2 linked regions of the Anolis sagrei genome follow. The protein of the gene in region 1 interacts with the protein of each later gene in a pairwise test. Links are inferred from orthologs where the notes say so. Each region holds a gene or a part of one and is shown in the gene's direction. Other genes may lie near its edges.

Region 1 (13,035 bases):
TTTATCGTGCCAGAAGCAAATTGAGGGTACAGTTGTAATGTATTTAAAAACACAAACCAAGTTTTAAAAACTTGGCATTATACTAAATGTCCATTGACCAGTAGCTGGCCACTTGGAGTGTCTCTTGTGTTGCTATAAGGAGGTTCTCCATTCTGCATGTGGCAGGGCTCATACTGCATTGTAATAGGTGGTCTGTGGTTTGCTCTTCTCCACACTCACATGCTGTGGACTCCACCTTGTAACCCCATTTCTTAAGGTTGGCTCAGCATCTTGTGGTGTCAGCGTGCAGCCAAGTCACCCAGCCTTCTGTGTGTCCAGGAGGGAGTCCGTCATTCGGTATCAGCCATGGATGGGGGTTCTGGGTTTTAGCCTGCCACTTTTGGACTCCGGCTTGCTGAAGTGTTCCTACAAGTATCTCTGTAGAACATACAAACCTATTTCTTGATTTAAATCTGATGTGCTGGCTAATAACCCAAACAGGAGATGGGCCGGAAATATCACTGCCTTGGTCCTTATTTGCTGCTGCTACCCAGTGGATGTCAGGTGGCGCAATACCGGCTGAACAGTATAATTTCTCCAGTGGTGTGGGCCGTAGACCTCCTGAGATAATGTGGCATGTTTCATTAAGAGCCACATCCACTGTTTCAACATGGTGAGATGTGTTCTACACTAGGCATGCGTATTCAGCAGCAGAGTAGCAAAGTGCAAGATGTCCTGTGTCTGGTTGTGATCCCCGGGTTGAGCCAGTCAGCTTTTGTATGATATTATGTATAACACCCACTTTTTGCTTGATAGTCAAGCAGTGCTTCTTGTAAGTCAGAGCATGGTCCAGGATAACTCCCAGGTAGGATTTCTTCTCAGATAATCATCAGAACTCGAGATGTTTATTCTTAAGGTGAAAAGCACAAACCTGCAGTTTAGATGGGTAAGGAATCAGCTGGTTTTCCCTGTAATAGGCAGTAAGAGCAAATAAAACTTCAGAGAGCTTCTGTTCAACCATTCCAAAGCTCCCTGTTTGGGCGGTGATGGCACGATCATCAGAATAGATGAAACACTCTGTCCAGTGGCTGATCATTTGTGTAAATGTTAAACTCTGATGGAGCAAGCATGCTTCCCTGAGGCAGGCCATTCTTCTGTTTCTCAAGTGACTTAGAGCATGCAACCAAACAAATTGGTCAGGTGGTACCGTCTGAAATATGCATCCTATATGCCATGCTTCAGCTTATGTAGTACAGTAATCGAAAGAAGTAATCGGCAACAAAGATTTTCATCCTGATGTATGCAGATGATCTAATGCTCATCTCCCTCTCTCGGTTGGGTCTTTAAAATCTTCTGGAGGCTTTCAGTACCTACTGCCAAGAGAAATATCTGTGGAAAAAAAAGCAATAGAAAGAAAGTAGAAAAGCAAAGCTAAGAATCAGCTCTGTCTTCCCCTTCCTCCTCCTCTCCTCCTCTTTTTCCTTCACAACTAATTTCTAAATAAACATAGTTTATTTGGAAATTAAAATGGTTACCTACACCTTGTCAAAAAACAGGATGAAAGAAAACATTGGTTTGCCCAATATTTTCATATATTAATGTTTATGTGTAGAAATACATTTAGAAATAAAGTCTAATATATATATATTGGTACATTACACCAGGGTGAGGAAGAATCTGAGTGGAAGATCTGCAAGTCTATGAAATCTGCTGTCCATGTGATGATGGGAAACATGAAGGTCTCTACTTCTTCCCATGGATCTTTGTTTCGAAACTGGAGTGGACAGCACTTCAAGCAGAAGGCAGTTCTGTGACAGTCCTTTAAACAGAAAAATGTCTCCTATGGAGATTCTCAGTTGACCTATTATAAGCAAATGTATATTGTCTCTGACGTCTGACCCCATTCTGACAATTTGATCTCCGAGTACAGATTTCTGTGAAGCTCAAATAAAGGAATATCAGCTGGCTTGGGAAAACTTCAGGGCTGCAGGAAAGCATGCACCACAAAACAGTCAAATGAGGACAAAACCCACCCAGAACCCACAACACTGAGTGTTGAGTGGGGTGGTGCAGTGATATGGATATGGGGGTTGTAGGCTGGCAAAGCACCAGCATTTTGGGCAGGGAAAGCTAAAGATCTTGTTAAACAAAAACTCTTAAGGTTGTCGCTGCATCACCATAATTTTGTAGTATTGAGCCACAACCGTTAAATCAGTGTCAAACTGCATTAATTAAAAAATATAGAAGTTTTTTTTTTAAAAAACTGCACTTTAATAATTTAATTTGAGATGTACATTGTTTTAATGGTATGGGTAGCTTAATTCTATTTAAATATTAACTTTATATGTGTTTTAGTTGTATGGTTCTTTAAAACTGTGAACCTCTTTACGCTTTTTTGAGAAAAGCGGGATATCAATAACAGTAATAGAAATGAAAGCTGCCACGAATAATCAAAGGAAACTCTTATGTGAAGCCTTGTAATCATATGCAGATTTCCGCTGAATAGAAATTGACAGTTCACAGGAAGGAAGTGAATTATCCCTGTTAGCAATTTGCATACTCTAGCTCTGGCAGTTCATTACAAGTTGGAAGTAGGTCACACACCCAGAAAATGTTTATCCTTTTGTTCACCTTTAATACTGCATAATGGTGGAACACATGCTAATTTCTTACATTGTAGTACTTTCCGGCCACACTTCTGTCTCTCTCTGCACAGGCAGCAAGGTTGGCTCAAAATTCTGCTGCATGAAATAAGGAAAGAAACGGCAGCCCCTCTGTCATTCCATACATAAAAGCTGAATGGATGGACTTTGGTATCTCCTTAAATGTTTTTATTGTATTCTGCAAGAGAGAAATTGCTCACGACAGAGTATAGAAATATCAAATTGTTTTTTTGAGTGCAGCTCCCAGAATATTTCAGCAACCACGAGAGATTCCAAAACAAAAAAAAATGTTTCCCTAGGCCCCGTCTATACTGCCATATACTCCAGATTATCAAAGTAGATAATCCACATCTGCTTTGAACTGGATTATGTGAAACTACAGTGCCATGTAATCCAGTTAAAATTAGATAATCTGGATTTTATATAGCAGTGTGGAAGGAGCCCTAGTCTCTGGTTCTAGGTCCTTGGTATCCATCTGTAGACTCATTATCCAGTTTCAAGCAGATAATCTTAATTTTCTGTTTTGATAATCTGTATTATACAGCAGTGTAGAAGCAGCCTAAATTTCATACCTCACTGGGGAATTAAACTCTGGATAAAGCGTAGGCCCTTTCTACACTGTGAAATAAAATACAGATTATCTGTTTCGAACTGGATTGTATGACAATGTAGACTCATATAATCCAGTTCAAAGCAGATAATCTGTGGGCCCTTCCACAAAGTGGTATTAAATCCACATAGAACTGGATTATATGGTAGTGTGTACTCAGATAATCCTGTTCAAAGCAGATATTGTGGATTATCTGCCTTGATATTCTGGGTTATATGGCTGTTTGGAGGGGCCCTGGGTTGTCTGATTTGCTAATCTAGATTATATGGCAATGAGAAGGCGCCTTAGAATGAAGTATTCCTGTTCATAACACACCTAGTATACAGCTCTCTGCAGAATTCAGGTGAGATGTTAGGATGGGATACGGGCATTTCTAGTTCTCTGGTCTTCTGTCACTCTCTTCTTAGGAGGTTCTGTGGTGGAATCTTTGCAAAAAGATGAAGACTTTGCAAAATATTTTTTTCTCCCCAAGAATGCATGGCTAATATTTCTATCCTTAGAATACTTAATATGCATATTGCCTTGGAAATTCCAGTCATAAAAATCCACTATCAAACTCTAACAAGTTGAGGGCCCTTCCACAGAGTCATATAACCCAGAATATCAAGGCAGATAATCCACAATATCTGCTTTGAACGGGGTTATTTGAGTCCACACTGCCATATAATCTAGTTCAATGTGGATTTTATACAGCTATGTGTAAGGTTCATGAGATGTCAGTCTGAGAAAGCGAACATTTTATTAATTGTTTGAAAGGGAAACACACACTGCTCTATCTTAATCTCTAAATTGGGAAATCTTCATAGTCCTAGCAATGCTATAAGGAAGACTGATGTTAGGAGGTATTTCTGGTAAGCCCAATGCTCCTGGAGCCCTTCAGGAGACTGAACTGACCTTTTTAAAAGTGTATTTTCCTCCAGACTGGAATGCCAGTGTTGAGGCAAAGCTCCCACCTCACTGACAATTAGATGCAGACTACTGAATGCTCCTGCATTCTTGAATGTACCAATGTCAGGTGGTTCTATGAGAGTCAGTGAACATATAGTACCTTGATCATGGTCAAAAGTGCATGAACCCTTCTGGGCTGTGCATCTGGCTTCACTGAAAAAGTCTTTCTCTCTCTTTTAGGATCATTACAGCCACTCACAATTGTATGGAATGAAGGCTCTGGCTAAATCGACTGCAGTTCTCTCTTTATTGCTAGGTGGATTGATGTTTTTAATTGCGAGGAAGCCCAAGCTATGGCAAATCTACAAATGAGAGACTGTTAAAAGTACTGGGCAGGGCTGTTGCTTCTCTGGAGGGCATTCACACTGTCGAATTAATGTGGTCTAACAGCACATGAACTGTCATGGCCCACTGCTAGGAAATCCTGGGATTTGTCATTTTATACGGGGCTCTTCCACATAGCATGTTGTTGTTGTTCATTCGTTCAGTTGTCTCCGACTCTTCGTGACCTCATGGACCAGCCCACGCCAGAGCTCCCTGTCGGCCGTCACCATCCCCAGCTCCTTCAAGGTCAGTCCAGTCACTTCAAGGATGCCATCCATCCATCTTGCCCTTGGTCGGCCCCTCTTCCTTTTACCTTCCACTTTCCCCAGCATAATTGTCTTCTCTAGGCTTTCCTGTCTCCTTCAACTTTGTCTCTAGTATCCTTCCCTCCAATGAGCAGTCGGGCTTTATTTCCTGGAGTATGGACTGGTTGGATCTTCTCGCAGTCCAAGGCACTCTCAGAACTTTCCTCCAACACCACAGCTCAAAAGCACCTCTTCCTTCGCTCAGCCTTCCCTAAGGTCCAGCTCTCACATCTGTAGGTTACTACAGGGAATACCATGGCTTTGACTATACGGATCTTTGTTGCCAGTGTGATGTCTCTACTCTTTACTATTTTATCGAGATTGGACATTGCTCTTCTCCCAAGAAGTAAGTGTCTTCTGATTTCCTGGCCACAGTCTGCATCTGCAGTAATCTTTGCACCTAGAAATACAAAATCTGTCATGGCCTCCACATTTTCTCCCTCTATTTTCCAGTTGTCAATCATTCTTGTTGCCATAATCTTGGTTTTTTTTTTTATGTTTAGCTGCAACCCGGCTTTTGCGCTTTCACATAGCATATAACCCAAAATATCAAGGCAGAAAATCTCACAATATCTGCTTTGAACTGGGATATCTAGTTTACACTGCCATATTTTCAGTTAAAGCAGAAAATGTGGGATTTTGGGCCCTTCCACGCAGCCCTATATCCCAGAATATCAAGACAGGAAATCCCACATTATCTGAGTATGGACTCAGATAACCCAGTTCAGAACAGATATTGTGGTATTTTCTGCCTTGATACTATGGGATATAGGGCTGTGTGGAAGGGGCCAAGATCTTCAGCCTTCTCTGCCAAAGAGTGCTGGTGTCTCACCAACTACAGCTCCCAGGATTCCACAGCATTGAACCACAGAAGCTAAAGTGGTGTCAAACTGCATTAAATCTACAGTGTACATACAATTAGGCCCTTCTACAGATTATCTTCTTTGAAGTGGATTATATGGCAGTGTAGAATCAGGGCCCTTCCACATAGCCCTGTATCCCAGAATATCAAGGCAGAAAATCCCACATTATCTGAGTGTGAACTCAAATAACCCAGTTCAAAGCAGATATTGTGGGATTTTCCACCTTGATATTCTGGGATATAGGACTGTGTGGAAGAGCCGTCAGATAATCCAGTTCAAAGAAGATAAACTGGGGCTGGATTTACAGTGCCCTACATCCCAGGGTCTGATTTCAGATTATATTCTTATCCCAGATTATCTTGCAGTATAGACTCATAATCTGGGGTCTGGTCATAGAATATTCGACTGCATAGCTCTAACCTGGATCTGATTTGATAATCTGGATTATAAGGCAGTGTAGAAGAGGCCTTAGGGCCCTCCCAGACAGGCCCTATATTCCAGGATGTGATCCCAGGTTTTCTGCTTTAATTTGAATTATATGAGTCTGCACTGTCAGGTAATCTGGGATAAACAGAAAACCTGGGATTAGATCCTGGGATATTGGGCCTGTCTGGAAGGGCCCTGAGTTATCTGAGAGCATTCCAAACAGCCCTATATCCCAGAATATCAAGACAGAAAATCCCATATTATCTGTGGACTCTGATAACCCAGTTCAAAGCAAATATTGTGGGATTTTCTGCCTTGATATTCTGGGATATAGGGCTGTGTGGAAGGGCCCTAAGTCTACACTGCCATATATTCCAGTTCAATGTGGATTTTATACAGCTATGCGTTATTGTTGCCTGCCATAGCATTGCACTTAATTCCCGGGCCCCCTAGAATTTTTGGGCTAGCACAAATCTTGACCCTTTTACATTTTTAATTGTCTTGAACAGGCAGGATTACTTTTAATATATGTGCATTTAATATATTAATATATGTATGGCGACAATTTTTATGTTTATATTTTGTTTGTTAATCTTATGGTTATGTTGTTTTTACTCTGTATGTTTTGTGATATTACTTGGGAACCACTCTGAATCCCCTCAGAGAGATGGAGTGGTATATAAATAAAGATTATTATTATTATTATTATTATTATTATTATTATTATTATTATATAAGGGGTCCTAATCTAGATATTCTGGGCCCTTCTACACTGCCATACAATCCAGAATATCAAGGTATATAATCCACAATATCTGCTTCGACCCGGAGTCCCTTCCACACAGCTGAATAAAATCCATATAACTGAGTCTCCTTTGGGGGGGGGGGGGGGGGGGGGAGAAGGGCGGGGTATAAATATAGGAAATAAAAAAATAAGTGGCCCTTCTTACACAGCCCTATATCCCAGAATATCAGCTTTGAACTGGGTTATCTGAGGCCACACTCAGACAATGTGGGATTTCCTGCCCGGATATTCTGGGATATAAGGCTGTGTGGAAGGGCCCCCAGTTAGGTTGGGGGGGGGGGGGGGGTTCTGTTCCAGTGACTGGAGCCCTTCCACACAGCCATGTAACCCAGAATATCAAGGCAGAAAATCCCATAATATCTGCTTTGAACTGGGTTATCTGAGGCCACACTGCCATATATTCCATTTCAAAGCAGAAAATGTGGGGTTTTATTCAGCTGTGGAAGGAGCCTCAGTCTACACTGACATATAATCCAGTTAAAAGCAGATAATCTGGGCCTGAGTTTGTACACCTGGATTTCCTCCCAAGATCATCAGCATGGCCTTGTGGAAGAAGGGTGCCGCATTGGCTCCGTTTCCCTAGCAACAAGGAAGCCAAGCCCCCTCCCCGTTTAGCATCCAAGGACCCTACGTCATGCCCGTTGCCATGGTAACACCGCGCCCGCCTGAGCCAATGGCTGACGGCCGCCGTTCTAGCCTCCAGGACGCGTCCTCTCTATAGTATACGTGAGAGTATCCTTGTTGTCGCCTGGATGACGAGGACGGAAGTGAAAGGAAGAAAACAACGTCGCGTGACCAGCGGAAACCCGGAAGCGGAAGTTTCGCGCGAGAGCGACAGGGGGAGAGGGAGCGAGAGGCGGCCAGGCGAAGCCTTCCTTCCTCCCTTCCTCCCTCCTGGAAGGCACCCCAGGCCGGGATGGTGAGTGCCGAGCGCGCCGAGACCCAGCCAGGCCCGGGTCCTTGGTCTTCCCCTCTCTTCTCCATCCACACTGTCGAATTGATGCGTTTTGACACCGCTTTGACTGCCACGGCTCCATGCTAGTTGTCCTTTGGGGAGGCCCCAGCCCTCTTTGGCAGGGAAGGTTCAAAGCCTTGTGAAACTACATCTCTCGTGATTCCATGGCATGGAGCCATGGCAGTTGAAGCGGTGTCACGTTGCATTCATTCTGCAGTGCAGAGCCAGCCTCTTGTCACCCGAGAGACGCATGAAAGGCAGACCCCAACTTTGTGCTCTCTCTTCTCCTCCTGGCCTTTCTCAGGCCTCTTCCACAAAGCAGTATAAAATCCACATTGAACTGGATTATATGGTAGTGTGGACTCAGATAACCCATTGTGGATTGTCTGACTTGATATTCCGTATTATTTACCATGTGGAAGGGCCCTTAAGTCGCTCTTACACACCAGAAGGGAATTATCTCTTATTGGGAAACCTGAAATAATCCAAAAATATCTACATGGAGGGCAGAGATATCAACACATTTCCTTTCTGGTGTTTCAGTGCTCACAAGCTTTATTTCATGCATAGAATTGAGTATAAAATTACCTTCACGCTTTGTCAGGCATGTAGCTGAAGCCCCCCAGCCCCCCCCCCCAATTCTCAGGGTGGTCCGCGTAAAGGCCTTACTGGTACATTATTTAAACTGTTATGTTTATTCATATCATGATCTGATCACCATGTTCAATATATCTTCATATGCATGGGGGTATTGGGGTAATGATACAAATTTTTTTGCTAGGGTAGACCCTCTTTCACTCAGACTCAGCCCCCCCCTCCCCCGAATCAAAATCCTGGCTACGGGCCTGGGCTTTGTGTAAGAGAAACATAATTTGGGTCTCTTCCACACAGCTAAATAAAATCCCATATTATCTGCTTTGAAATAGAATATATAGCAATGTAGACTCATAACTCAGGGCCCTTCCAGACAGGTTCTATATCCCAGGATCTGATCCTAAGTTTTCTGTTTCCCTCAGATTATCTGGCAGTGCAGACTCATATGATTCAAATTAAAGTAAAATACCTGGGATATAGGGCCTGTCTGGAAGGGCCTCCAGTTCAAAGTAAATATTGTGGATTATCTGCCTTGATATTCAGGGTTATATGGCTGTGTGGAAGGGCCCCCAGTTCAAAGCAGATAGTCTGGATTTTGTAAATCAGTGTAGAAGGGGTCTAATTCTCATGTGTAGAAATGGGTCCCATTTTCAAGATATGTCATGTTTGTAAATACAGACATTCCAAAATCTGGAAAAATCCAAAATACTTCTCGAAAACATTTGGATAAGAGATGATCTCAGGGCCCTTCCACAAAGTCATATAACCCAGAATATCAAGGTAGAAACTCCCACAATATCTGTTTATCAGAGTCCACATTAGCATATATTCCAGTTCAAAGCAGATAATGTGGGATTTTATTCAGCTGTGTGGCAGGGCCTCTGTGTTGTCACACTGTTTGTGCCATGTTCCCATCTGCTGGCCTTCTGTAAAGAGTGTCTATTCTTCCAATTCCACTTGAAAGCTTTTCCCCTAGAAACAGTTAGAGAGGCCATTGAATACAACAAGATTCACCTGATAACGGGAAAGACCAAAAAACAGCCAGTCTAGTTGCCCAAGAAAAGATAGTGTCATCAGTGTACGCTATCTGAATACTTTTGATTCTGTTTAGGAAAGCACTCAACTGGCAAATTGAACAGCTTGTAATTTCAAATGCAGTTCCAAGAAGGACCAAGTGGAAGAATTTGCATACTATAAAACATTACTAAAGTGGCTGAATCTTTTCAAAAGGAAGAGATGGGAGTATTAAGATGGTGTCTTCCCATATGAAGGGGCAATATTTTACAAGTTGAAAGATCCTGCCCATCCTATTCGATTTTATATTGTCTTATTATTTCATTTTGTTATTGTAATTTATTTCCTGATGCATTTTTGGTTTGTATTCTGTATTTTACTGTGTTGTATTGTATTTTTATATGGGCTTGGCCTCATGTTAGCCGCCCCGAGTCGGGGAGATGGTGGCGGGGTATAAATAAAGATTATTATTATTATTATTATTTGCTTTATTCTGGGAGGAGGAACTGGCAAAATTACTTCTGATAATCCCTTGCCATAGGTCAACAGTCAACTTGGATGCATGTACAAACACAACCCTTTGTCAACCACCCTTCCTGTTTGTGTACTTCACAGACTGAAGTCTCCAATCCATATTAAAGTATGGAAAAACTCACTATACAACCTTTTAGTGCAGTGGTTCTCAACCTGTGGGTCCCCAGATGTTTTGGCCTTCAACTCCCAGAAATCCTAACAACTGGTAAACTGGCTGGGATTTCTGGGAGTTGTAGGCCAAAACACCTGGGGACCCACAGGTTGAGAACCACTGCTTTAGTGAATATGCTGTGTGATGTTTACTCTTATATTTTAAGACTGACAGTTTACTATAAGCAATTAGATAGGCTTATATTTTAGCAAGTGCCAGATTAACTATTAAGAGTTTTGTGTGGTATTAGATAGGCTGGGTTTTCCCATGAAACCTTTTAGTAACTAAATACAGATTTATGACTCTGAGTGAGAGCTTATCAAACATGGGGCTGTTTGTATGGTGTGGTCCTTTCATAGGGTTTTATCATCTCTCTCTGTCACAGACAGAAGCAGCAAGTACTTGACCAGATCATTTCATTCAAGTACTTTCATCACAGTCTCTCTGTTATTTCCTCTGCAGGTCACAAGGCCATTGGTACCAGTAGGAGCCCAGTTCTGGCGCTGGATGTGTTGGCACCTGGCCCCACCTGGGCAATCATGAATGGGAGTGCAGTTCCCCTGTCCCCGGTTGGGGGAGGGATGCTGGGTGAACCTGCCTCTCTCCCCTCACCAGGTTGGCGGGAATTCTGTGAGGTGCATGCTCGGGCTGCCGCTGTGGATTTTGCTCGTCGTTTTCGGGCCTTCTTGGCTGAGAACCCACAGTTTGCCACTCCAGGAGCCGAAGCCGCCTTCTCACGTCGCTTTGCTGAGCACTTCCTGGAGCATTTTGAGGCCGAAGTGAGCCGGGTTTATGCCAGTGATTCGCCACCTCGCTGTGACATCGCCCCCTTTACTGGCTGTTCCTCTGCCCGTGACCTCTCAGAGACCTGCAGTGACTCGTCAGTGGCCTCACCCGTGGAGCCTCCCCTTGGGCCACCTTCTGGACTCTCCAGCAGCCAGTCCCGCAGCTCTGAGGATGTTTCTACCGTGACAGCAGTGACCGCCACCAAACCAAAGCTGAAGAAGCGCTTTTCGTTGCGCAATGTGAGCCGCAGTGTCCGTGGCAGTGTCCGTGGCATCCTGCAGTGGAAGACGTCAGCTGACTCGTCCCCTGGGGGTGGAGACGGGGCAGGGACAGGAGCCAACAGTAATTCCAACTCTTCAGGGGGTGGTGACTCTGATCGCTGGACTCACCGATTTGAGCGTCTGCGGCTCAACAAAGCCACCCCGGCCACTCTTCGAGTGGAACTGGCCAGTGTGAGGCGTGAGGGCTTACTGAACTACATTGTGGCTGACGATGGGTCAGGCGGGGGTAGTCGGACACGCTGGCAGAAATGCCGTCTTCTCCTGCGCAAAGCAGGGAAAGGGGAGGGAGAGGGGTACCTGTTGGAGTTCTACATCCCACCAAAGGTAAGCAGTGGGTCTCTAGATGCAATGGAGTAGGAGAGGGGAGGGCAGAGAATGGGTATAACCATTAAGAGGTGGTTGCGGGAACCAAGATATTCCAGGGATTCCTTGTTTCAGACTGGGGGTGTTATTACATTTCTCTCTCTCTCTGTCCCCCAATCTTTTCAACTGCTAGGCATCAAAGCCACGGGTCAGTATTGCCTGCTCCTGTGTAGTAGATGTGCGGACAACTACTCCCCTGGAAATGCCAGACAAGGAGAACACATTTGTGCTCAAGGTAGGAAAAAAAAGATGAGTTTGGGTACAGGCAGAGCAGTAATGTCTTAAGATTTGTATTACTATTCTTTTTATTTATACCCCACTTTTTCTCTCCACAAAGAAGACTCAAAGTGGCTTGCATAAAGCATTTCAATACAATTTGAAATCCAAACAACATTGGATTATACAAACATTAAGCAGAATAAAGCCTCAATGGTATTAAAAAATTAACAGATAAAATCCATAAATTGCCTTCAATTTTATTTAAAGCTAAAGCTTTGCAGTCTGATTAAGAGCCTAATATATTTCAAGCAAGTTTCAAAAGCCCATGCATCCCAAGCCATCAGAAGGCATCCTGGTGCTGTTCAGATGGTTTTTTTTTTTTTACAATAAATTTATTTCCTACCAGTGTCCACATTTACAGGGTCTCGTAATCCAATACTGGTAGTGGGCACTGTGTTGTCAATTTAAGTTTTAAACCTATTCAGTAATAATTGGAACAGTGGAAATTGTACACCAAATCTTTCACCAATTTATACATAACAAAGTGGTCCATGGAATTGTTTTCCTGAGATAAAACTAGAGTTCTTTTCGCCAGCTGACAGTACAAGTGGCAATGGCTGGACTGTGCTTTTAGTAATTGTTTTCTTGCCTCTTGCTTTTCTTCAGGAAAGATCCAGTTAATAATAACTTTATTTTTATCCCATTCTATCTCTTCTGCTCCAACAATATCTTGGTCATTTTGATGAGGGTGATTTTCCTGTGCCTTTGGGATGATTGGAGGCCAGTGTTTTTCTTAAGGGAAGCTGAATGTGAAAAAACATTTTGCACATTTTATGTGAACTTGTAGCCAAGTAAGGATTCAGTAGGTTCTGCTGTAATGTGATAGTTGCATTCCTTTAAAAGGCCACCTTTCCTGCTCTAAAAATAATAAGACTTCTGGGCCTAATAAGACACGGGCCTCAAAGGCACAGGAAAATAACCCTCATTAAAATGAACTTGGTGAAGATCTCAAAAATATATCTAAGTTATTTATTTTAATTTATCACACATTTTAATCTGCAGAAGATAAAAGTAATATTTTCTGGGTCTTAGGAGTTTCATGCATATTTGTTTGTTATTGCTGGCACCGCAGCACTTGCTAGGTTTAATTTCTCAAGAGCAGTGGCAAAGTTGCACTTACCCAGATACAGGAGTTGGTGTTTGGGAGAGTAAAAA
Region 2 (12,661 bases), on another chromosome or scaffold:
TAGAGGCATTTCTCCTGACGTTTCGCCTGCATCTATGGCAAGCATCCTCAGAGGTAGTGAGGATGGGTTGTTAGGGTTGTTAGGTGTCAATTTGGGTTGTTAGATGTCTTGTGTCCCAAATGTCAAGGTCTATTTCCCTTAAACTCCATCATATTTGGGCATATGGGATATTCGTGCCAAGTTTGGTCCAGATCCATCGTTGTTTGAGTCCACAGTGCTCTCTGGATGTGGGTGAACTATAATTCCCAAACTCAATGTCAATGTCCACCAAACCTTTCCAGTTTTTCGTCAATTCGTCCAGTGGTTTTTGAGTTCTGTTAATCCCACAAACGAATATTACGTTTTTATTTATATAGATTACAGGTCACAACAGTAGCAAAAGGACAGTTGTGGAGTAGCAACGAAAATAATGTGATGGTTGGGGGTCACCACAACATGAGGATCTGTATTAAGGGGTCGCGGCATTAGGAAGGTTGAGAACCACTGCTCTATAGAGTGAGTGAGAGGTGAGTAGATTTGTTTTGCTCCCCATTCTGAGTCTCTTTTTGCATGCCCTCGAGCATGGCATATCCAAAAGAAGGCATATCCCGCCCCTCTGCAACATCTGCTGATGTACGGCCTGTGTTGTCGCTCCCTGCAGGAGCCCATCTGTGCCCACTTCCAAAGGGACCATCCATCAACAACGGCCATGCTTGTTAGAGGAGGCCAAGAGCTCTCTGGAGACCCCTAATACTCTCACTAGCCTTTCGGGGGCTCCCACTGGACTCTTCCTAGCAAATCGGGGCAACGAGGAGCAGAAGGAGAAGCAGGCGGGCCATCAACGGGGGCACCGATATCGGTCGGTTGGAGAGGGCTTACACAAAGGGTCTAGCTTTGCCTGGCAAAGAGCTTTCTCTTTTCCACAAAAGCCACCTCCAAAAAGTCAGTTGCCAACCTGGCATAGGGTTGCTGTGAGTTTTCCGGGCTGTATGGCCATGTTCCAGAAGCATTCTCTCCTGATGTTTCACCCTCATCTATGGCAGGCATTTTCAGAAGTTGTTAGGTCTCTTGGAAATGAGGCAAGAGGGCGACTAAAATGATCAAAGGTCTGGAGAACAAGCCCTATGAGGAGCGGCTTAAGGAGCTGGGCATGTTTAGCCTGAAGAAGAGAAGGCTGAGAGGATAGCCATGTATAAAAATGTGAGAGGAAGGCACAGGGAGGAGGGAGCAAGCTTGTTTTCTGCTTCCATGGAGACTAGGACGCGGAACAACGGCTTCAAACTACAAGAGAAGAGATTCCATCTGAACACGAGGAAGAACTTCCTGACTGTGAGAGCCGTTCAGCAGTGGAACTCTCTGCCCTGGAGTCTGGTGAAGGCTCCTTCTTTGGAAGCTTTTAAACTTTTTGGCCATCTGTCAGGGGTGATTTGAATGCAATATTCCTGCTTCTTGGCAGAATGGGGTTGGACTGGATGGCCCAGGAGGTCTCTTCCAACTCTTTGATTGTAGGATTCTATGGGGTTTATAGATCTGTGGAAAGATGTCCAGGGTGGGAGAATGAATTCTCTGTTGGAGGCAAATATGGATGTTGCCATTGGCCACCTTGACTAATAATAATAATAATAATAATAATAACAACAACAACAATCTCTCAGTTCTTGTGGGTTTTTTTGGGCTATATGGCCATGTTCTAGAAGCATTTCTCCTGACGTTTCGCCTGCTTCTAGAAATGCTTCTAGAACATGGCCATATAGCCCGAAAAAACCCACAAGAACTGAGAGATTCCAGCCATGAAAGCCTTCGACAATACATTGAACAACAACAACAATAATTTATTTATACCTTGCCACCATCTCCCCAAGGGGACTTGGAGCGGCTTACATGAGGCCAAGCCCAACAACACATCTATAGAAACAACAAGCAATAAGCAAAAACAATACAGACTATAATAATAATAATAATAATAATAATAATACTTTATTTATACCCCGCCACCATCTCCCCGATGGGGACTCGGAGCTGCTTACATGGGGCCAAGTCCGGACAACATAATACAGCAATAAAATCAAAGCATATACAACAAATAACAACATTATCAAAATGACATAATAATAATAATAATAATAATAATAATAATAATAATAATAATTCCAATAGATACAATCACAATAGAGATGACAATGGGCGGGCCACATATTCCAAATAAAAACAATTAACAGACTATGTATTGTCGAAGGCTTTCATGGCCGGAATCACTGGGTTGTTGTAGGTTTTTCCGGGCTATATGGCCATGTTCTAGAGGCATTCACACCTAGCTCTAGCAGACAAGAGTCCTTTGTCCCACCCTGGTCATTCCACAGATATATAAACCCTTTTTCCTAGTTCCAACAAACCTCACTACTTCTGAGGATGCTTGCCATAGATGCAGGCGAAACGTCAGGAGAAAATGCCTCTAGACCATAGCCATATAGCCCGAAAAAAACCTACAACAACCCAATTAACAGACTATAATGAGATAAAATAGGAGCAGGATGTTTAAATGGAACCCATAAAACACACAAGACTAGCATTGAATAGTCTTGCAGCTTCAAAGCCTGGCCGCTGAAAGGTTCTATCATCAAACAGGCTATATTTACCTGCCCACACATTTGGCTGAAAAGTTTTTGGACAGTTTTCTTATTTTCATTCTTGAAATATAAATATAAATTAGTAACAAAAAAATACGAGTACTTTAGCTTTTGTAAATTCCTTTGCCAGGATTCAGGTGAGCATAAGGGACACCTTCATGGAACAAGGTATGATTGGATGGTGGGTATTTTTTCCTGATAGGATATGCATGGGAGGCATCCTTTGGTGTTTCGGAGATGTGTGGTTAGGTCAAGGTAAGTCCAGTCATATTGAACTCTGGGGTTGGTGCTCATCTCCATTTCTAAGCCAGCGTTATCCATAGACACCTCCAAGGTCATGTGGCTAGCATGACTACATGGAGCACCATTAACTTCCCGCTGAAGTGGTATCTATTAATCTACTCACATTTGCATGTTTTCGAACTGCAGAAGCTGGGGTTAACAGTGGGAGCTCACCCCGCTCCTTGGATTTGAATGTGCGATCTTTTGGTCAGCAAGTTCAGCAGCGGTTTAACCCCACTGCACCACCGGGAGCTCATGTGTTTGGTTTACCGTATGCAAATGCATGTAAATATGGCTGGTGTATTGATTAATCAATTAAACACTGAGTGGTTAATCAATGGGCCTGCTAATCTGTGGCCAGCCCACAGGGTAAGAGACAAATTGGAGGAAGCCAACCTCCGCCTGTCCTCAAGCCCATCCTGACTTCTTCAGTCCGCGATAAAGCCAAAGGTGTTCTGGGGCACGCGAAGAGTGGCACTGACTATTGACAAGCTGGACTGTGTCCAAAATAATCAAAACATTGGAAGCCAAACTCTTTGAGGAACCAATTAGAGAGCTGGGGAGGTTTAGCTTGGAGAGAGAGAAAAGACTAAGAGGGGACGTGATAGCCATGTTTACATACGGAGCTTTAAATCTAATGTTAATTCTGTTTGCTATTGTCTTATATTGATTGTTTATGTTATTGTTTATCCTTCGTTATGTAGTTTATTGTATTGTATTGTAATTATTACCTTGGGTACCTGGTGGTGTCTGGGTTATTTGAGAAAGTCAATTTATTAATTGTGCAAAATGCATAACGTTGTGGGTGAACTACAACTCCCATCTGGCCAGGTTAACCCCCCATCAGTACTTAAAGATTGTTATGTTGGGCAAGTTTGCTCTGGATGCATCATTGGTGGGGTCCAGTGTGCTCTCTGGCTGCAGAGTAAACTACAACTCGCACTAGAGCAGTGGTTCTCAACCTTCCTAATGCCACGACCCCTTAATATGCTTCCTCATGTTATGGTGACCCCCAACCATAAAATTAGTTTCGTTGCTACTTCATAACTCATTTTGCTGCTGTTATGAATAGTAACAGATTGGGGGAGGGTATTGATTTTGTCCTGTGGGAGTTGTAGTTGCTGGGATTTATAGTTCACGTACAATCTAAGAGCATTCTGAATTCCACCAACGATAGAACTGAATCGAACTGGGAAACACAGAATTCCCATGATCAACAGAAAATACTGGAAGGGTTTGGTGGGCAGTGACCTTGAGTTTTGGGAGTTGTAGTTTACCTACATCCAGAGAGAACTGTAGACTCAAACAATGATGGATCTGGACCAAACTTGGCACGAATTCTCAGTATGCCCAAATGTAAACACTAGTAGAGTTTGGGGGAAATAGACCTTGACATTTGGGAGTTGTAGTTGCTGGGATTTATAGTTCACCTACAATCAAAGAGCATTCGAACCCTACCAAGGATTGAATTGGGCCAAACTTCCCACACAGAACATCCATGACCAACAGAAAATACTGTGTTTTCTGGTGGTCTTTGGTGACTCCTCTGACACCCCCTCGCAACCCCTCCAGGGGTCCTGACCCCCAGGTTGAGAAACACTGCACTAGAGTGAGTCAATTTATTTATTTATTATTTATTTAGAGCTTTTATAACCCGGTCTTCTCGAATCATAGAATCAAAGAGTTGGAAAAGACCTCATGGGCCATCCAGTCCAACCCCATTCTGCCAAGAAGCATGAACATTGCATTCAAATCACCCCTGACAGATGGCCATCCAGCCTCTGTTTAAAAGCTTCCAAAGAAGGAGCCTCCACCACACTCCGGGGCAGAGAGTTCCACTGCTGAACGGCTCTCACAGTCAGGAAGTTCTTCCTCGTGTTCAGATGGAATCTCCTCTCTCTTCGACCTCCGAAGAGAGACTCAGGCCGGCTAACAGCAGAAAATTCAACACAAATATAGTAAACATAATAGCATCGTAATACATTAATACAAATTACATTAAAATACAGATCATACAATATCATACTATTACAAAAGCCAGGTCGTCAGAATAAAATCACAAATTCATCCCCATCCGCCGGTGTGGTCAGCCGTTATTGACTCGATCATCATTCTGCAAATGCTATATTCCAAAGCCAGGTTTTTAGCAGCTTTCTGAAAGTCAGGAGGGGAGAGGCAGATCTAATCTCTAATGGGAGAGAGTTCCAGAGCCGAGGGGCCACCACCGAGAAGGCCCTGTCCCTCATCCCCACCAGACGCGATTGCGAAGGTGGTGGGACCGAGAACAGGGACCCTCCAGAAGATCTTAACAACCTTGATGGTTCATAGGGGAGAATCCATTTGGACAGGTAAACTGGGCCGGAGTCGTTTAGGGATTTATAGGTCAACACCAGCACTTTGAATTGTGCTCGGAAGCTAATTGGCAGCCGCCGCAACAGAGGAGTAGTATGCTCTCTGTACCCTGCTCCTGTTAATAATCTGGCTGCCACTCGTTGGACTAGTTGAAGCTTCCAGGCAGTCTTCAGAGGCAATCCCACGTAGAGAGCGTTGCAGTAGTCTATACAGAATGTAACCAGAGCGTGGACCACCGTGGTCAAGTTCAATCCCCTCGAACTTCTCTAGTAGGTTGAGTTAGTCATGGGGGTTCTGTGTGCCAAGCTAGTTCCAGGTCCATCATTGGTGGAGTTCTGAATGTTCATTGATTGCAGGTGAACTATACATCCCAGTACCTCCAATTCCTATAATTTGTGGTGAATTCTCCCTAAACCTCTCTAGTATGTTCAGTTGCTGATCAATTCCTCTGTTTGCTGTGTGCCATAGAAAAGGATTAAATAATAATAACAATAATAATAATAATAATAATAATTGCAGAGAAGCAACTGGAAAACCTGACACGATATGAGGATTTAAAGATTGGACTGCAAAGACTCTGGCACAAGCCAGTCAAGGTGGTCCCAGTGGTGAGCGGCACACTGGGTGCAGTGCCTAAAGACCTTGGCCTGCACTTAAAAACAATCGGCACTGACAAAATTACCATCTGCCAGCTGCAGAAGGCCACCTTACTGGGATCTGCACGCATTGTTTGCCGATACATCACACAGTCCTAGACACTTGGGAAGTGTCCGACGTGTGATCCAATAAAACAGCCAGCAGAGTGTCTGCTCTGGACACATCTTGTTGTGTTTCTAATAATAGTAATAGTAATAATAATAATAATAATAATAATTAGAATGGGATGCCAGTCCCAGTGCCCTGGCTCTACCTAGAGAGGGGCCATGGCAGCCTGCTCTCTCTCTCTCTGGGTCCATCCCTAGAGAGAGGGTCCTGGGGAGTGGGGAGGGGGCGTGGCCAGTGTGTGTGGGAGGCTCCTCCCCCTTTGCCCTTTAAATGCAGCGGCAGGCATCGGGAGGCAGAGGTGCCCTGCTTGGCAGAGAGAGAGAGAGAGGCAGGGATGCTCTGGGGAGCTGAAGGGAGGGAAGGGCTGTGCCCCATGGACCACTGAGACTGGGGGTCTGGATGGAGGCGAGGAGGGCGCCCTGGGGCCGGGCGGGGCTGGCCCTGTGCCTGCTGGCCTGGCTGATGCCCCTGCCGCCCCCCGCCACCCCCTCGCCCTGCCTGGAGCCATGCCGCTGCTACCTCAACAGCCTCCTCTGCCAGGAGCCCAACACCATCCGGAGCCTCGCCCAGCTCCGTAGCCTGGAGAACTTCACCGAAATGTGAGCAGCACCCAGGGATGGGCATGCCCCCCCCCCCGGGGGGGGGGACTCCTTCTGCCCGGCTCCTCTTCTTTCTCCTTTCTGCTCTTGGGCCACTCTCCTCCTCCTCTTCTTCTTCCTTCTCTCTCTTTCTGCTCCCATGCCAATCTTCTCTTTCTCCTTTTCCTTCTCTCATGACAATGTTCTCCTCTTCATCCTTCTCTCTCTTCTTGCTCTCATGCTGCCAGTCTTCTCCTCTTCCTCCTTTTCCCTCTTCCTCCTTCTCTCTCTTTCTGCTCCTATGCCACTTTCTTTTCCTCCTCCTCTTCCTCCTCCTCCCTCTTCCTTCTTCTACCCCTTCTGCTCCCATGCCATTCTTATTTTCGCCCTCCTTCTCCTCTTCCTCCTCCTCTCTCTCCCTCCTTCTTGCTCTTCTTGCTCTCAGGCTGCCAATCTTCTCCTCTTCCTCCTTTTCCCTCTTCCTCCTTCACTCTCTTTCTGCTTCCATGCCATTTTTTCTCCTCCTCTCCCTCCTCTCCCTTCCTCCTTCTACCCCTTTCTGCTCCCATGACAATCTTCTCTTTCTCCTTTTCCTTCTCTCATGCTAGTCTTCTCCTTTTCCTCTTCCTCCTTCTCTCTCTTCTGGCTCTCAGGCTGCCACAATCTTCTCCTCTTCCGACTTTTCCCCTTCCTCCTTCTCTCTCTTTCTGCTTCTATGCCACTTTCTTTTCCTCTGCCTCCTCCTCCTCCTTCTCTCTCTTCCTCCTATCTCTTTCTGCTCCCATGCCAACCTTCTCCTCCTTCTCCTTTTCCCTCTTCCTTCTTCTCTCTCTTTCTGCTCCTATGCCACTTTCTTTTCCTCCTCCTCTTCCTCCTCCTCCCTCTTCCTTCTTCTACCCCTTTCTGCTCCCATGCCATTCTTATTTTCGCCCTCCTTCTCCTCTTCCTCCTTCTCTCTCTTTCTGCTCCTATGCCACTTTCTTTTCATCCTCCTTTTCCTCTTCCTCCTTCTCTCTGCCTCTTTCTGCTCTCATGCCAATCTTCTCTCTCGCCTTTTCTTTCTGTCATGCCAGTCTTCTCCTCTTCCTCCTTTTCTCTCTTTCTATTCCTTTGCCACTTTCTTTTCCTCTGCCTTCTCCTCTTCCTCCTTCTCTCCCTCCCTCCTTCTATCCTTTTCTACTTCCATGCCATTCTTTTTTTCCTCCGCCTTTTCCTCCTTCTCTCTACCCCTTTCTGCTCCCATGCCAATCTTCTCTTTCTCCTTTTCCTTCTCTCATGCCAGTTTCCCCTCTTCCTCCTTCTCTCTCTTTCTGCTCCTATGCCACTTTCTTTTCCTTTGCCTTCTCCTCTTCCTCCTTCTCTCCCCCCTCCTTCTATCCCTTTCTGCTTCCATGCTATTCTTTTTTCCTCTGCCTTCTCCTCTTCCTCCTTCTCTCTTTTCTTGCTGTCATGCTGCCAATCTTCTCCTCTTCCTCCTTTTCCCTTTTCCTCCTTCTATCCCTTTCTGGTCCCATGACATTCTTTTTTTTACCCCCCCCCCCTTCTCTTCTTCTCTCTCTTCTTGCTCTCATGCTGCCAATCTCTTCCTCCTTTTCCCTCTTCCTCCTTCTCCCTCTTTCTGTTCCCATGCCATGCTTCTTTTCGCCCTCCTTCTCCTCTTCCTCCTCTCGCTTCCTCCTTCTCTCTCTTCTTGCTCTCATGATGCCAATCTCCTCTTCCTCCTTTTCCCTCTTCCTTCTTCTCTCTCTTTCTGCTCCTATGCCACTTTCTTTTCCTCCTCCTCTTCCTCCTCCTCCCTCTTCCTCCTTCTACCCCTTTCTGCTCCCATGCCATGCTTCTTTTCGCCCTCCTTCTCCTCTTCCTCCTTCTCTCTCTTCCCTCTTCTCTCTCTTCTTGCTCTCATGCTGCCAATCTTTTCCTCTTCATCCTTTTCCCTCTTCCTCCTTCTCTCTCTTCCTCCTTCTACCCCTTTCTGCTCCCATGCCAATCTTCTCTTTCTCCTTTTCCTTCTCTCATGCCAGTCTTCTCCTCTTTCTCCTTCTCTCTCTCTTTCTGCTCTCATGCTGACAATCTTCTCCTCTTCCGACTCTTCCCTCTTCCTCCTTCTGTCTCTTTCTATGCCACTTTCTTTTCACATGCCAATCTTCTCCTCTTTCTCCTCTCTCTCCCTTCACTCGTGCCAGTCTTCTTCTCTTCCTCCTTCTCTCTCTTCTTGTTCTAATGCTGCCAATGTTCTTCTCTTCCTCCTTTTCCCTCTTCCTCCTTCTATCCCTTTCTGTTCCTATGTCATTTTCTTTTCCGCTGCCTTCTCCTCTTCCTCCTTCTCTCTCTCCCTCCTTCTATCCCTTTCTGCTTCCATGCCATTCCTTTTTTCCTCCGCCTTCTCCTCTTCCCCCTTCTCTCTCTCTGCTCCCATCCCAATCTTCTCCTCTTCTCCTCTCTCTTCCTTCTCTCGTGCCAGTCTTCTTCTCTTCCTCCTTCTCCTTCCTCTTCTCTCTCCTGCACCACTTTCTTTTCCTCCTCCTTCTCTCTCTTCCTCCTTCTACCCCTTTCTGCTCCCATGCCAATCTTCTCTTTCTCCTTTTCCTTCTCTCCTGCCAGTCTTCTCCTCTTCCTCCTTCTCCCTCTTCCTCCTTTCTGCTCCCATGCAAATCTTCTCCTCTTCCTCCTCTCCCTTCCTTCTCTTGTGCCAGTCTTCTCCTCTTCCAACTTCTCTCTCTTCCTCCTTTTATCCCTTCTTGCTACCATGCAACTTTCTTTTCTTCTTCCTTTTCTCTCTTTCTGCTCCCATGCCATTTTCTTTTCATCCTCCTTCACCTTTTCCTCCTTTTTTCTCTTCTTGCTCCTATGCCACTCTCGTCTTCTTCCTACTGCTCCTTCTTCCTGCTCCCATGCCAACCTATGTTCCTCCTTTTCCCTCTTCCACCTTCTCTTCCTGCCCCCATGCCACTCTTTCCCCCTCTTCTTCCTCCTTCTCCCCTTTCCCCCTCTTCCTTCTTCCCTTTCTTTCTGCTCCTATGCTATTCTTCTTTTCTTCCTCCTCCTCTCCCTCCTCTCTCTTCCGGCTCCCATGCCAGTCTTCTTCTCTTCATCCTTCCCCTTCTTTCTCCTTTTTTTCTTTCTATTCCTATGCCACTCTTTTTCTTCCTCTTTACCCCTCTTCCTGCTCCTTCTCCTCTTCCTCTCTCTTCCTGCTCCCATGCCAACCTTCTCCTCATCCTCTTTCTCTCTTCATGCGCCTATACCACTTTTTGCCTCTTTCTCCTTCTTTCTTTCTGTTCTTATACCACTATTTCCTGCTCTTTCTGCCTCTTCCTCCCTCTTCCTGCTCCTATCTCAACTTCTCCTTCTTCCTGCTCCTATGCCACTCTTCTCCTTCTCCTCCTTCTCCTCCTTACCCTTTTCTTTTTCTTTCTGCTCCAATGCCACTCCTTTCTTCCTCCATCTAATCTCCCTCTTTTGCTCTCTTCCTGCTCCTATGCTACTCTTCTCCTCTTCCTCCTTCTCCTCCGTACCCTTTTCTTTTTCTTTCTGCTCCAATGCCACTCCTTTCTTCCTCCTTCTCATCTTCCTCCATCTAATCTCCCTCTTTTGCTCTCTTCCTGCTCCTATGCCACTCTTTCCCTCTTCCTCCGTCTCCCTCCTGCTCCTATGCTACTCTTCCTCCTCCTTCTCTTTCTCTTTCTCTCACTTCCTACTCCCATGCCAATCTCTTCCTCATCTTCCTTCTCTCTCTTCCTTCCTCCTTCTCTCTCTACTCTTCTCCTCTTCCTCCTTCTCTTCTCTTCCTCCTTCTTTCTCTTCCTTCTCCTATTCCGCCCTTTCACCGTACTCTGAGGTTCCTGATGCCAGGAGTGGCACCTGAGTCATGCTGCCTCTTCTGTGCCATCCTGCCCAGTGTTCGTGTCATTATGAAATAGTCTCATCTATCTATTCTACCTCTACTAAGCGCAGTGGCCCAGTTGGTTGAGGCAGGAGAAAGCAGGAGGGCACCTGAGTGCCAGGGAGTGGGGAGGGATGTTCCTTTCTCTGCCCTTAAAACCACACCTTTTCCTTTGGCACAACTGAAGCCAGAAAGGCATACATTGAAGGGGCAAGAGCTGGGCCCCAATGGCTCAACCTCTGACTTGTCCAAACAGCTCTCCTGGAAAGGAGAAAGTGGTGGACTTGGTGAACGAGGCAGGTGAAAGAATGCCTTGGTTCAACTGGCACACCAAATGGGGCTCTTCGAAGCCCTGAGTGGCTTCGCAAGGCTGCCCTCCAAGTGCCCACTCAATTACGGGAGTGGCAAAAACACCAAGTTCTGTGCCAGCTTGCTCCTTGATAGGAGGCTGCTGGTTTCCTAACAAAATACCCCTCGAAGGGGGGCTGTTCCCAAATGGGAGGAGAGCGAGTCCAGCTCTGATGCCCTTTAGGGGTCCTGGCATCAGGGGTGAAGTGGCCCCATCTCAAGAAGTTGAAGGCAGGGTGGGCAAGGGCTATACAAAATGGCAGAGAAGCAAGACTGGTCTGAAAGGAAGAAGAATACAAAGCTGGTGTCTAAGGACGGTATTTGCAAACTTTCACCAAGAGCTGTCTTTGCCAGAACCAACATAATTTGACTGTGGAATGAATTGTCCTAATAATAATAATAATAATAATAATAATATCATATATAATTACTTATTAATTGCCCTCCATCCGAGAATGCTCTAGGCGATTTACAGCTAAATTGTAAAAGATGAAATACATACATATAGAAATTAAAAATTAATAACAAATTAATAACAATAATAATTATGGATTGTCGATGTCACAATCCCAGATGACAGCAGGATTGCAGAGAAATAACTGGTAAAGCTGACACGATATGAAGATTTAAAAATTGAACTGCAAAGACTCTGGCACAAGCCAGTCAAGGTGGTCCCAGTGGTGATCAGCACACTGGGTGCAGTGCCTAAAGACCTTGGCCTGCACTTAAACACAATCGGCGCTGACAAAATTACCATCTGCCAGCTGCAGAAGGTCACCTTACTGGGATCTGCACGCATTATTTGCCGATACATCACACAGTCCTAGACACTTGGGAAGGATCCGACGTGTGATCCAATTCAACAGCCAGCAGTGTTTATTATTGTGATTATTATTATTATTATTATTATTATTATTATTATTATTATTTTACTGACACAAAAGCACAGTATGTCACAGCAAACGAGATCTATATTATTATTATTATTATTATTATTATTATTATTATGATTGCCACTGATTCAGAAAATTGCCTTGAACAGATCCCACCAGCTCTAGTTTCTTAGATATGGTTACCATGATTTCTTATGGGTGAGCAGATGGCGGCTGAGAGATGCCATATGTTCGTATCTCAAAAACTAGAGCTGAGAAGGAGGAATATGTACCAGTTTTGGAAACAGCAGGTCAAATATACCCAGAGCTAACATTTGAGGCATCAAAATGTATATTGACCAGTTACTGGGGCCGGATGGTCTCCCATCCTAGAAGCAATAATTGAGGATGACCCTGCTTAGCTGGGAGCTGCGGTGGTGGAATGGGTTAAACCCTTGTGCCAACTGAACAGCTGACCTGAAGGTCAACAGTTCAAATGTGTGAGACAGAGTGAGCTCCTATCTGTCAGCTCCAGCTTCCCATGTGGGGACATGAGAGAAGCCTCCCACAGGATGGTATCACATCTGGGCGTCCCCTGGGTGCCTGGATGGCCAGATCCCCATTTGCACCCCTTTTGTGATGATTCAAGGGGTAAATCCAGGGAGCCAGGAGTCGGGTCTCCCAAGGGTGTGGGTCTTGGACTTTAGTCTCCCGATGCCTTGAAAGAGACTCAGAAGAGGGGTCAGCTCTGTGTCCCCTTCCATTGCGCCCACCCCACTTTGTGCCCACCCACACTGACCCCCGGCCAGCTCCCCATTCCCTCCTCAACCCATCATTCCCCAATCCAAATCCCGTGCCAGACCCCCATTTGCACCCCTTTTGTGATGATTCAAGGGGTACATCCAGGAAGCAAGGGGTCGGGTCTCCCAAGGTTGGGGGTCTTGGGCTCAGGTCTCCCCATGCCTTGGAAGAGAC

The links.
Region 2: the proteins of SH2B1 (region 1) and NTRK1 interact in a two-hybrid assay, tested with the Homo sapiens proteins (2 studies listed by BioGRID). The link is inferred for Anolis sagrei from reciprocal best matches to the Homo sapiens genes SH2B1 and NTRK1.

What each region holds. Positions count from the first base shown.
Region 1 is NC_090026.1:22,729,244-22,742,278, forward strand, and holds the start of SH2B1 (SH2B adapter protein 1), read left to right. Parts: upstream 1-7,712; 5' UTR 7,713-7,842; intron 7,843-10,633; 5' UTR 10,634-10,710; coding exon 10,711-11,562; intron 11,563-11,734; coding exon 11,735-11,836; intron 11,837-13,035. UniProt on the Homo sapiens protein: Adapter protein for several members of the tyrosine kinase receptor family.
Region 2 is NC_090032.1:10,580,583-10,593,243, reverse strand, and holds the start of NTRK1 (high affinity nerve growth factor receptor), read left to right. Parts: upstream 1-6,275; 5' UTR 6,276-6,404; coding exon 6,405-6,604; intron 6,605-12,661. UniProt on the Homo sapiens protein: Receptor tyrosine kinase involved in the development and the maturation of the central and peripheral nervous systems through regulation of proliferation, differentiation and survival of sympathetic and nervous neurons.